2 linked regions of the Tamandua tetradactyla genome follow. The protein of the gene in region 1 binds, or shares a complex with, the protein of each later gene. Links are inferred from orthologs where the notes say so. Each region holds a gene or a part of one and is shown in the gene's direction. Other genes may lie near its edges.

What was found.
Region 2: the proteins of TNRC6C (region 1) and GIGYF1 are in contact, whole or in part, in a crystal structure (PDB 7RUQ), measured with the Homo sapiens proteins. The link is inferred for Tamandua tetradactyla from reciprocal best matches to the Homo sapiens genes TNRC6C and GIGYF1. Residues at the interface, in NP_001136112.2 of Homo sapiens: Arg1719, Pro1720, Pro1721, Pro1722, Gly1723, Leu1724, Thr1725; in NP_001362694.1 of Homo sapiens: Tyr479, Asp481, Pro482, Gln487, Phe490, Trp498, Tyr503, Phe504, Leu508.

What each region holds. Positions count from the first base shown.
Region 1 is NC_135332.1:70,317,219-70,323,543, forward strand, and holds the start of TNRC6C (trinucleotide repeat-containing gene 6C protein), read left to right. Parts: upstream 1-2,178; 5' UTR 2,179-2,336; coding exon 2,337-2,353; intron 2,354-3,597; exon of another isoform or gene 3,598-3,690; intron 3,691-6,325. UniProt on the Homo sapiens protein: Plays a role in RNA-mediated gene silencing by micro-RNAs (miRNAs). Required for miRNA-dependent translational repression of complementary mRNAs by argonaute family proteins.
Region 2 is NC_135349.1:8,771,196-8,777,520, reverse strand, and holds the start of GIGYF1 (GRB10-interacting GYF protein 1), read left to right. Parts: upstream 1-3,091; 5' UTR 3,092-3,107; intron 3,108-3,379; exon of another isoform or gene 3,380-3,472; intron 3,473-3,893; exon of another isoform or gene 3,894-6,325. UniProt on the Homo sapiens protein: May act cooperatively with GRB10 to regulate tyrosine kinase receptor signaling. May increase IGF1 receptor phosphorylation under IGF1 stimulation as well as phosphorylation of IRS1 and SHC1.

The sequences.
Region 1 (6,325 bases):
TTTTTTAGGGTCAAGTCAGTTGCTGCCTACTGATGAGAAAGCCAGGAAAACTGAGACCTAGAATACTGTCTCCTCCTCTGTCCTTCCATCATTCCAGCTTCATTAACTTTTCATCGAAAAGCAATCATTTGTTTGACTCCCTTGGAGAGGCCCACCACATTAGAATGCAGATTCTACTCGCAGAATCAAGGAAATGGAAGGCGGCAGGACGAAGCAAGACAGCTCTGTGTGATGGAACCAGGCTGGGAGTTGAGGGGAGGCAGGTTTTACACCCAGAACCCAAAGAAAAGGTACTCTTTATTATTCTCTAGAGTAGTGGTTCTCAAAATTCTCCAGAGTAGTGGCATCAAAATCAGCTGGAGGGCTTGTAAAACCAAAGCCTCCTGGGCTCCATCCCCAGAATTTCTGACTCAATAGGTCTGGGTTGGATCATAGAAGCTGCATTTCTAATGAGCTCCCAGTTAATGCTTGATGCTGCTGGTCCAGGAACCACAGTTTGAGAATCACTGAGCTACTTCACCCTTTCTCTCCACCCACCCCCAATGAAGTAATTGCTGCAATATCCATGGAGAAGTGCATGGCTTAAGCAGTGTTTTTCTCCTTAAACCCTTCTACAAATGTGGCTCTTTGGACATTTTAAGACAGAGTTTCCATAGATAATTCTCCCAGCTCTTCCTTGAACTGAGCCCAAATCTGTCTCCAACACCTTCTACCCGTGGACCTGGGTTGGCCTCCAAGTTCCTCAAAGAATATATCTCTGCCTATTTGTACATAGCAGCTCTTTAAAGATTTGAAGAGGGCCATCATCTGCTGCCTGCTTCTGCTCTGCAGCAACCTCTTCAGCACTTTCATTCTGCTCCTTCACTCATTGTGCAAAGATGGGAAGTCTGCCATCAACGACTGCTTCCTCTCCGAGAAAGACTAAAAATTGTCAATGCTTTCTTTCAAACCATAATGTCTAGAAGTGGACATAGTGCCCCAAAGGGGGTCTCACCAGCTTGAAGAACAGTCTTTTGAAAGACTGTATTTCTTAAATGGACCATTTTACACCTTTAGTCGCCTTGAGCATGTGGTCACTTGCAATGAGATCTTTTTGCATGAGCTATGTCCAGCCAGGATAACTCCATCCTGGCCTTAACTAGTTGACTTTTAAAATAAAGGGCAACATTAGCATTTAATCCTCCCAAACATCATTTTATTTAGTTTTGCCCATCTTTATAGATTGTAAGCAAATGCCTTAGTGATAAGGAGGCAGGGCATGACAGACCATAAGTATGAACTTTCCCATTTCAGTTTTGCCAGGGGTCATAATTCATACTTTATTTAGTCTAAACAGCCACTAATAAATGGATCTTAGTTTCTGCATTCTCCACACGCATGGCCATCACCTGCCTTAATGTTTCCCAGTCAGCTCTGGTTTCAAACATTCTTTCTATTGCCACAAATCCACAAGCCAAACCCTGGATCTAATTTGGGGGTCAGAAAATGTGGTCTATATAACTTTGCCTTTTCTCCAGGTATTAAATATAGTTTAAGATAATTGGAGACAGAATTATTTTACTGGTTTAAGCTGAGGGAGAGGGCTAGTAAAGGGAATCAGAGGTTGAGAGGCTAAAGTCACAAGTTCAATGTCAAGGAAAAATACTAAATAATAAGAGTTCCATTTCTTAAAAAGTGAAGTTCTGTTTATCACAATTCTTGATCCATCCAGATAGTCAACTCTTCATTTTTATCTAAAAACTTTCTTAGCAGATGTTGCATATTTTGAAGCTATTATTATGCACACACTCCTGGAGCCCCTACCTTTAGGAAATACAAGATGCAGCTTCTTTGCAGTCAGGAATTAATGTAAATAAAATGTTCGGTAGAAAAGGCAGAAACTTCGATGTCAGCTCTGCCTGGCTTGAGGTCTTTCTAAGTTATGTAGGCTTTCGCGAAGGGAAATACATCACACAGACATTTGAAGATGACTTTAGAGAGATTTGTGAATCTGAGTATGAGAAGGTTCAAAACGCTGCAACAAGGAAGGCGTGCACCGAGCTTACGAGATCCTGAAGAGAGAGAGCGGGGAATTTGTTGTCTCTTTCATCCACAGACGTTTCAAAGCACGACACATGTGGTAACAAAATGCATTGTGAAATAAGTAGTGTGATGGTATCTCTTCTTTAAGATGGGGACACGTAGGCAGAGAATGGCCAACAACTTTCAGGCAGCCCCGCTGCACCTCCGCGTTACGAACAGGAGGGCGAACCTGCGCTCACGACTTTTCAAATTAAACCCTGCGCGTGACCTTACCTAGGAGTAATGAATAATATATATGGAAGAGGAGCGGCGGAATGGAGGAGCACCGAGGGTACGCGGCGATCAGAGCGCCGGGCTTCAGCCACGCCCGTCTGTTGGCAGGGCGGGGGTGGGGTGTTTGCGTTCCGGGGAAAACGGATGGCCTCTCCCGGGATCTGCTTCGCAGCGAGGCTTGTTTGGCTCGCGACGGGGAACTCCCTGGGGAGCGGCTGCCCGGAGGGACGGGCGTGGTGGGGGGCGCCGCGAGAAGGATGCTCCGGGAACCGGGCTGGCGTGCGTACGCGTGAGTGCACGGTGGGGAGGGTGCAGGGCGTGTGATCGGCCCGGGCGGGATGCGCACCGGTACGGACGCTGCCGGGTGAAAACGCCGCGCAAGACTCGGCTCGGCGGTTTGCGAGGGGCATCGGGTGAGGGGACGGTCCTGAAGACCTGGGCGCACGCCTCATTCGTCCCACGCTGTACCGTAGCACGTAGAGATAGGGAGGGGAGACGGCGACAGGACAAACGCGAGTCCCCATGCACCCCCGGGAGGACCGGGACCAGTGCGCGACCAGTGCGCGCCCAGCGCGGTCTGGAGAACTACAGCGCGGACGGGTATTAAGAGAGAAGGAGGAGGCGTGGCCCGGCCGAGAGGACCCAATGGGCTGGTGAGGGGCGCGCGGGGGCGGAGCTCGAGCGCAGAGCGCCGGTTGGCCGGATCGCCCTCTGGTATGCAGATGCGGCGGGGTCACGTGTCAGGGGCCCGGACGACTTCCTGTTCACGGCCACCGCGGGGCGGGGAAGGGGGCGCGAGCGCCCCGTCTGGCTGGAGCGGGGGGAGGGGGGGTTCTTGTCAGTTAGAGCAACAAAATGGCCGCGGTGGCAGCTCAGCACCTCAGCGCGACGGCCCCGGGAGCCGCAGCCGCCGCCGCCCGCGCCGCCGCCCCGCAGCCCTGAGCGCCGCCGCGTCCGCCCTCCGCTGCCCCTGACAGGCCAGTGCCCGCGCCCGCCGTGCTGCTGCAGACGCTGCGGGCCCGCCCGAGCCGCCGGCAGAGGGAGCGGAGCCGGCCCCGCGCCGAGCGCGCCCGCAGCCGCCGCCGCTACCCCCACCCGGGACCCGGGGCCGCCTCGGAGCCGCCGTCCCGCCGGCCGGTGCGAGGAGCCGGGCGCGTCGCGGCGTCGCCGGGCTCGGACCTGGACCTGCCGGGACGCGCCGCCGCCCACCCGCCCGCGCCGCCGCCGCCCGCGCGGGGACCTGAGCCCGCGGCGCCGGGGCTGAGCGGACTCCCGCCGCCCGAGCGCCCCCGAGGCCTTTGGGTGGTCTCCGCCGCCGCCAGGCCCTCGCCGCCCTTGCCGCCGGAGCCCCGCCGAGGAGCTGCCGTCGCCGCCGCCGCCGGGGACGGAGCCCAGGTGAGCGGGCGCGCGGGAGCCCGGGCCGCGGGCACCTCCTCTCGCCGCAACTTTGCCAAAGATGTTCGCGTTCCCTTTGTTCGACCCGTGCGGAGCGGGAGGCGGCCCCCACCCGGAGCGCCGGTGGAGTAGGGGCGATCCCCCCGCCGCCCCGGACGCGCGCGGGCGCCCGCGAGGCGCCTGGGGACCGTTGTCCCCGCCCGGCTTGCCGGCACGCAGGGGGCTCTCGGAGCGCGCGCCGGCGCCTGGTTGATCCCGGATGCCACCGCTATCCGCGATGGCACCGGCGGACCCTGACCCAGGGCTCCCGGGACGTTTGGGTGCATATGTGTATATATATATATATATTTTAAGAGAGATTTGGCAGATGTTTAAGTGTAATTCGAGTCAAACGTGATTGGAATTGATGGTTTGAAAATAGATCCGTTCCCCTCCCCCCCTTTTAAAAACTGATGCAGTTGGTGAAATTCAGTTCTCCCTCTGAGCCGTAACCCACAGCTCTTGCGTTTCTGATGGCATGCCCGAATCCAAAGCATTTTAGGTTTAGGAGCTCCTTCCGGTACTGTTGTTTGGGGGGAGGAGGGCGGGGGTGGAATTCAGGGCGTCCTTTGAGCGATGCCTAAAGGCCGTTTGCTTTCTGCTGGTCTGAAATCAGGTGAATTTCTAACGGGGCTGCAGACTGCGGAGTAATGCGTATGAGAAAAATGAGCCCTACAACATCTGCCCTGCTATCAGATAACGTAACCCGAGCGTCTCATTTCCACCTCTGCTTTAAGCGACGCCTCATTTGCACCTTTACCTTTGGATGAGATTTAATTAATTGATTCATAGCTATTAAAATGTGCATATATGAATATAGGGGTTCTCAGCGTTAACCTGGCGAGGAAACAATTCGCTACCATGTGAAACCGAGCTTGAGGAATCTTACCAAAGATGAAGGATTGCTTCCTCGAGGTTATGTTGGGGGCTGGGGGAGGAGGGCCACTAGATCTCCGTTGCACCCATTGCATTTTAAGGTATTTGAGGGTGTAAGTGATTCTAGACGTCATGAGTTGAATGGTCTCAAACCTTTGCCTCTGTCAGATTAAACCTCCATTTGAGTGGTCTGCTCGGTGTTTTCTAGGCATGAACTGCAGATTCTGAACTCAAAATGGTGCTCTGTAGATGTCCAACTTAAGCCTCTTTTAAGGAATTTCAAGTTGGAAGCTTCTGATTGCCTAATCCATTGTGCTGCCGAGGGTTGGTTTTCCTCCAGGATTTGGCGTGCACATCCAGGCACTTCTGCCAGGATAGGTGGTCAGTTTATAATTTTCACTGCCTTTCTGCGTGTATTTTATGAAGTTATTTCTTACGTTGAGAATTGAATAACTGGGGATGAGTTGAGGCGCTGGAACTGTGCTGCAGGGAATTTCAGGGGACAGTGGTGGCTAGGTTGATCTGTGTAGGAGTTGCTGACGAGTGTAGGCATGCATTCCAGACTTCTACTGAGTGAAGAAGCCAGTGACAAGACTTAGCCGTCAGCTAGATGAACTTGGCTGGCAGAGGGCACCTTGACGGAATTTACATTATTCCAGAAGAACCGAGGTGGTGATGGTCCTTGACCACCTTTCAATATGATACCCCTAGGATGCTTTGTGGGGGGAAGTGATGCAAATTGAGGTTTTAAAAATGACAAATTCAGTTATATTGTCTGAATTAATTTTGTTGTTATGCTAACAGAGCATCATAATGGTCTGAGTTGCTGTTTCTTTGTTTACCTTTATCGAAAATTTTAATATTTGTATTTTCATAAGAATAAAGAAACTTTGGGTCACGAGAAATTGATAGTCCAGAAAATGGTAATGGTCAGATGATTGGCTAAGTTAAATTATACTTATGGCGGTAAAGACTCATTTCTTAAAGGCAGCACTTCCTCACGCCGGGAAATGGTATTAGGGCCCAGGTGTATATAATGCTAAGATATTAAGATTTGATTTTATTATGAGGATCTAGTTGAAAAGGCTTATTTTGACTCTTTATTTGCATATTTCTTATCCATACCAAAGACATTATTGACCTGTACCTCAGTTTTACTATTAAAGAATGAAATTAAATGAAATTGGTGCTGAAGTTATAGAGCTTAATCCTATTTCACTTTGGAGTCTGACATTTAAATAAATATTCTGGAAAAAAAAATCTGCTAGTGCTCTGGGGGTACATGTAAATTTTGATTTCAGATTTTATTCCTTATTTGTTTTCTCTCCTTTTTAAAGTGGCAGGTTTAATGCTTTTGCAAAGATTATTTTGTAACATGTTTTTATCTATATTCAGTTGGCTCAGGAATTTGGAATAAATAGTTGCCATTAGAGTGCTGATTATGAGGGGAAGGTGGGATAAATTGTTTCATTTGATTCTCCCTGATTAAAAAATAACTACATTGCAGAGGAGTGTATGAAACAGTATTTCCCACCACCACCACTTTTTGGTTAAACAGCTGGCTTTGCAAAGATAAATTTCTGCTTTTCCAAATACTGTCATCTGGCTCACTTCCAAAACCAAGCTGGAGGAGGAGGCCAAGGGTGGAGTAGGACAGCCTTCTTCCTTAGTGGAAAGAAATGGAAGATAAAATTCCTGTGTCCTGGCTGAGAGTGGGGTT
Region 2 (6,325 bases), on another chromosome or scaffold:
GGCCACTGTCACCGGCTCCTGCTGTGTCATTGAAGAGGAGGACTAGATTTAGCAACATAGAGGTCACTGGTCACTCGACAAGCAGTTTGGGGTGGAGTGTTGGGGTGAATACCAGGCTGAAGGGGACAGAGAGGCGAGGGAAATGGAAACTGCAAGTGTAGGCTGTTAGAGGGGCCTCAGAGATAGGCTGGTATTTGGAGGGGACAGTGCAGTCAATGGGAGAAATTAGCATCTCCCATTTTGTCAGTGGGAGAAATAGCAGCATGTTGATGAAAGTGATCCAGTAGAGAGAGAAACTTCTAGGCACCCAGTCTTACGAACCCCACGTCTGACATCTGCAGCACATTTTACCATTTGCACTGCGCTGTCCGGGGGCCATTCTCTCACTCTGCCCTTGCTTTGACCCCTTGAAGTGGGGAGTGTCGAAATATGAAGAAAACACACCGTTTCAGGTTATTAAGCTGTCTGCAGCACTTTTACGGCAACCTCTGTAGGAGGGGTAAATACAGTAAATACAGAGGGACTGTTTCAAATAGTGGAAATAGCACTGCAACTTCCATAATGTAGGTCGACCAAAGAACTTGGCTCATGGCAGGAAGTAATTGTGAATGCAATAAATTAATTTTAAGGTCCATTATGTCTAAAATAATTAACAATAAGCCCAGTTTATGAACTCTCACCACATTACTCAGGGCGTGTGTCTTTGCCTGATAGCTAAAGCAGATTTTACTCACTATGACATCCAGGTAAACAGAAAAGCTGCAAGTTGAGGTGGTGAAGCCAGGCTCTGTAATAAACCAATCTGACAACAATAGCGCCTTTATCTCTCTCCACCTTACCACAGGGGACTCTACCATTGAGAAAAAAGGGCAACCTTGGTTTCCCCCAGACATCCCTTTCAGCTCAATTAATCATCCAGCCAAATCTCTTTGTTTAGTTCAAACCCTCGCAAATTTAAAACAGTACAGACCAAGACATTTTACTGCAGCATAGCGCCTGAATAAATGAAAGTATTTTAGATCTAAATGGCTTCTTCATCATCCTTTTCCTTAATTCTGTCTGGCAGATTCACAATCCTGATTTCCTAGCTTCTCTCAAAGAGGGGGCTTACACGACTCAGTTTCCACAATGTCATAGGCAGCAGCGTGCCCGCTCTGTACTGTCAGGGGAGACAAAAGGACTCACCAGGAGACATGGAGGATCCTAAGGGATCACTGTGGTCTTCTTACCTGGAAAGCCCAGAGTGCCCTCCTTGACATGCTACATCTACAACGAGTGCTACTCTCAGATCAAAACAGACTTTTTGATCTGTGTTGATCAGACTGGCGCCTGAGGCGTAGGAGCTAGTCGGTAGCCGGGTCAATCGGAACTCCAGGTCCCCAACTGAGGTTTCACTTCACGTCTCATCCAACTCCCAATCTAAGTCTTCTCTGGTCAGCACAGCGTGTTGCTATTCACAAACCTATGTCCACTTTTCCTAAATCTGTACTTCCCTCCAGATCCACTCATGCCACCAGCATCCGAGTGCTTCCACCTCCATTTCCCCACCATATCCTGCAATCTCACATTTCCTTACAAACTGTTAAAACACACTTAAGAGCTCACTCGTTCAGCCTCCGGAACACAGCTCCAATACAGAAAGGTAAACAATCAACCACTACCACCGCCACCAAAAGCTGCTGAGTTAGAAAAAACAGCTGTCGTGGGGTTATCTTCCAGGAGAGTTCTCACCCAAGCTTGGATTCTGTTGCTACATTTTCATACAGTGTTAATTCTTGAATATTGTGTGTTTCCTGGTCATGTTGAACCAGGAATTTCTACTAGCTGACATTTGTGGGGTGCCTGCCCTGGGCCACCCACAAGTTTAAAGCCACAGTCAGTAAGGGATGGAAGCAGCACAGGCTCTTACTTTCTCAGCCACTGCATTTTCCAGCCTGGGAGCAAGCAAGAATCCTGACCACAAGAAGCCCAACAGGACCGGGGTGGGCGGGGAGTCAACGCTAAAGCTCCAAATGCACAAAACCCTTGAGGGTACGTGGTGCGGGAATAAAGGGCCTTCCACGCGGCTCTGCTAGGGCACCATACACTAGGGCTCAACTTTCCAGTCGTGAACTTACCTGGGAGCAGTGAGGAACACTGCATATGGCTTTGGTAACAGCTGCTTTAGGAAGCAGGGAAGCAGAGTGTTACATTCTGGAATGACTTCGAAAGGGAATGGGGGAACACGCAACTTTGCCAACCTAAAAGTTTCAGCGACTCAGAAACAAAGGAGGCTTCAGTCTAATGTCTCACATCCGCAGGGTGATTTACTTCTTTTCAAAGTCTTTCATATTCACCTGCTTTGGTTCTCACCGCCATGAGAGAAGGAGGTGGGGGCAGGGAACGGGGAGAAGAGCATTGAAGACCCTTCTAAAGAAGAGAAACTGAGGCTCGAAAGCATCACCTCATGCGCCTGCAGTGTAGAGGCTAATGGGCGACTGGGGCAATCTGAACTCTAGGTCTCCCAGGCCGGGGCCGCCTGGAACAGTTCCTAAATCCCAGGTCCTGCGCTTATCCCATACAGCCCCGGACGTATAAGGAACGCTTCCCGCTTTTACTTCGCCTCCTTCAATCCAGGAGGGCTTCCCGAAGGAAGCCGCCCGGCCAGGAGAAGCCCAAGATGCCACTAGAGCCACGACCTCCGTCCCGCCCGCCGCGCGTCACGTGCCGGGGGCCAGCGCGGGGAGCGCAGGACTAACCCCGGGGACATCCCCCCCGCCCCCGCCCCGCGTCACGTGACGAGCCGGGCTCCCCGGTCACGTGCCCAGGGTTCCGGGGGCGGCAGGCGTCGGTGCCGCGCCCCGCGGGGTTCGCGGGGAGCGCCCGGGGGCCGTGAGGGGCCCGCGGCGCGGAGGGAGCCGGCGGCGGCGGAGGGGGCGGCCCCGCGTCCCCGCGTCCGCGTCACGTGGTGCGAGGCGGGCAGCCATCTTGCTACAAACACAAACAGAGAGGAGCGGCCACCGCGGGAGCGCAGCGCCCCCTCCCCCGCCGCCGCCGCCGCCGCCGCCCCCGGCCCGCCGCCCCCTCCCCGGGACCCGAGCCTCGCGCCGCCCGCCCGCCCGCCCGCGGTAAGCGCCCGGCAGTTCCGCGGACCCCGGCCCGCAGCCGGGCCTGCGGCCGGCCCGCCCCCGACACCGAGACGGCCGCGCCGAGCGGCGAGAGCCCGAGGCAGAGCGCGGGCCGCCGGCGCGGACCCTCCCCGGTCTCCTCCCCGAGGCGCCGCCGCCCGGTGCGTCCGCCCTCCCGGGCCCTCCCCGCCGCCCCGAGAGCGGCCCGAGCCCGCGGCCAGGGCCCCATGGCGGGGGGGAGGCGCCCGCCCGCCGCCCCCCGGCCCGCGCACCTGGCGCCCCCTCCCTGAAGGGCACGTTGTCCTCCGGGGCCGGCCCGCCTCCGACCCACCCCCGCGCTCCTAACGGTCGCCCCTTCGGGCCCATCCCCAGCCCTGCTCTGGGGGCCGCAGCTTCTCCCCCCACCACCCCCGCGCGCCGAGGGCGCTGCGACCCCAGTGTCCGAGTCCCGAGACGGTCCCCCCAACCCGCCCTCTCCGGGGCTCTCGGCGGACTTGGCTGGGGCTGGCGGGTCGTTCAGTCCAAGCATTCCGTGACTTGGGCCAAGCTGGAGGCCTCTCCCGTTAGCCAGAGCACCTCGGCTGCCTCTCCCCCTAAATTTCCTGTCGGCGAGCGGCGTTAATGCTTGGTCATTGGGGTCGCCCCCTCTCCCTGTTGGCTGGGCTGAGCAGGGGCGGCCGGGGCTTTGATTCCACCAAGCCAGGCTCCGTCGTCCACCCTCCCAAACTGTGCAACCTCCCCGCCCCCCTCCCCCCCATTACAGCAGCTCCTAGCCACAGCCCCTTAGGCTTGGCCTTTTTTTCTTTCTTTCTTTCTTTTTATTTAACGCCAAGGATCTTCAAGGAGCTTTTCCTCTCTTTCGCCTTTTACCCAGTCGTTGTTAGAAATTCCATGCCAGCTTGCAGGGATGTCCCATCGTAGATTCTGAAGAAATACCTGTGGCTGCTTCTTGCCTCCACCCACCCCAGTCTGGCTCCCCTCTGACTTCTCAAAGTGCTGCTTTCCCAAAGCTCATCTGCATCGGCTGCGGGCCCTCTGGGAGCTCTTTCCACTTAACCTGTCCTCCCCTCCCTACCCCATACTGCTCACCTTTACCACTGAAACACCATCAGCACCAGTAGGCCAGTCAGTCCCCATGGGCCCCACACAACGTGGCAGTTTTGGTCTCTGGCTGTTTCCCATCTCTCCCGTTCCCCTTGCAGGCCCAGGCCTCCTCCCCTCCAGCCTGGCTCCAGTTTTATTTCCTCGCTGTCAGTCCTGGTCCCCTGTTGCCATCATGTAATTGGGCAGGACCTTGTGTCCCAGCACTGCTTGGGAACCGCAGCCCTGAGCATCCCACGTCATGATATGGTTGCATGAGTCTTGTCCTGGGATTTCTCCACGAGCATTTCCAGGCAGCGGATGCATTTGCGTCCTTTGTGATTTCATGGGTGCAGGACCCCAGATTGGCCTCATTTTGATGTCTGTCATTAAAGTTCGGGGTTAAGAATATAGCCCTATTTTAGAGATTTTAAAGGAGAGAGGAGGCTGTAGGAAGGCTTACAGATATCTAACAAAACAAAAATGGCTTAAAACTCACGAAGTATGGCCTTGAGCTTGGGATGGTTTGTGTTGATGTGTGATCCTTTTCTCCAGGCTGGCATAGCGTTTTTGAGGGAAGTCGGGGTACCCTGTTAGGGCTGCTTCAACTCCCCTTCCTTGTTTCCCCCAGCTGGAGCCCAAGAGTAGCCAAGTGGGCAGGAGGGCTTAGATGAGATAAGGAATGCAAGGGTGTTGAAAACTTACACAGCATGTAAATGCCAAGTGGCATTGTCATGATGGTTGAGCCTGTAGAGTTGGGGCCAGCTGGGAAGAGCACAGGTTTATATTCCCTTAAGCCTCCGAGTTCAGGCCCTGTCATGCTTGGAGAATCTTTTCATCCTGAGAAAGGGCTAAGGCCCCTCTGGCAGACCTGGGATCGGGGAAATTGGGGACTACTGCTGATGGTGGTACCCTCTGTGCCAAGGGACATTGCCCTGGATTAGGGCTAATTTTAGGGGTGTGGCATGAGGAAGTAATGTTCGTTACTTAGTGTCTGCTGGCACTGCCTGTCTCTGCATCTTTTCCTTCTCCCATGAGTTCTGAACCCCCAAAACAGCCTCTCTTCCTGTTCCCCCACACCTGGTGTGAATGCAGAGGACCAGTGTGTACCTCTCTCCAGTCTCCAGCAGGGGGCAGCCTTTTAGCAGCAGTAAGCCAGGTGCTGGGGAAGTGAAGGTAGACTGAGGCCCAAGAAAGAGAAGGTGGGGAGGCATCATGGAGAGGAGATAGGCTGAGGGGGCGATGGGTTAGCTGGAGGAGGCCTGTGAGAAGGAGCCCTTTTAATCAGGTAGCCAGGAAAATTGAAGGTGAGAAAGTTGTGTTCCGCTCGTAGGCCTGGAAGTGGAAGGCAAGGATATTGCGTTCAGCCCTTAGTCCGTGCCTCCAGCTCTTTCGTGCGCAGGGAAGGGTCCAAATGCTTGCCTCTGAGAGTTTGTGATACAAAAGCTTGGGACACGTTATTTGTTTGCTTGTTTTGGTCGATTCTCTCAAGGATTTTTCTCCTGGCAGGATTTCTGGATTTGGATTTCTCTCACAAGACAGTGTAGTTAGGGAATGGTTTCTTTGCTGTTTAGAGGGGAGAATGAGCCAGAGTCAGTTTGCTTTCTCATCTTCCATCCTTCCCAAGCACAGAGTAGGCTTTCCCTGTGCTCGTAGCATGGAGGTGATTTCTCAGCAGTGGTACACTCAGTCATTCCACAGTGGTTGCCAGGGCCCACCTGGCTGTTGTTTTAGCAGCATCCCTGGCCTCTGCCCATGAGATGCCAGTAGCAATCCCTCAGTTGTGACAGCCAAAAATGTCTCCAGACATTGCCACATGTACCTTGGAGAGCAGAGTCACTCCCAGTTGTGAACCACTGGCTCCGAGGTAGCATGTGGAAAAGAAGTACTAGGGTGTGGAGGGGTGGACCCTGGGAGATGGCATGCATGCTCCTTTGCGTGGGTCCGTTTGGGTGAAGAAGGGAGCCAGCAGTCCCCCAGCTTCTGGGACTAAACCTTTCTCTGGCTGGGCAACGGGTCTTAGACTTTTCCTCCTAGCTTCTCTCTAAGAAGGTGGGATCACTTTGGCTTTTTGCTATTCGGTGGTTCCCTCTCTTCTCCTGTCTCTGCAGCTTCCTGTCTTCTCATCTTTGTGTGAG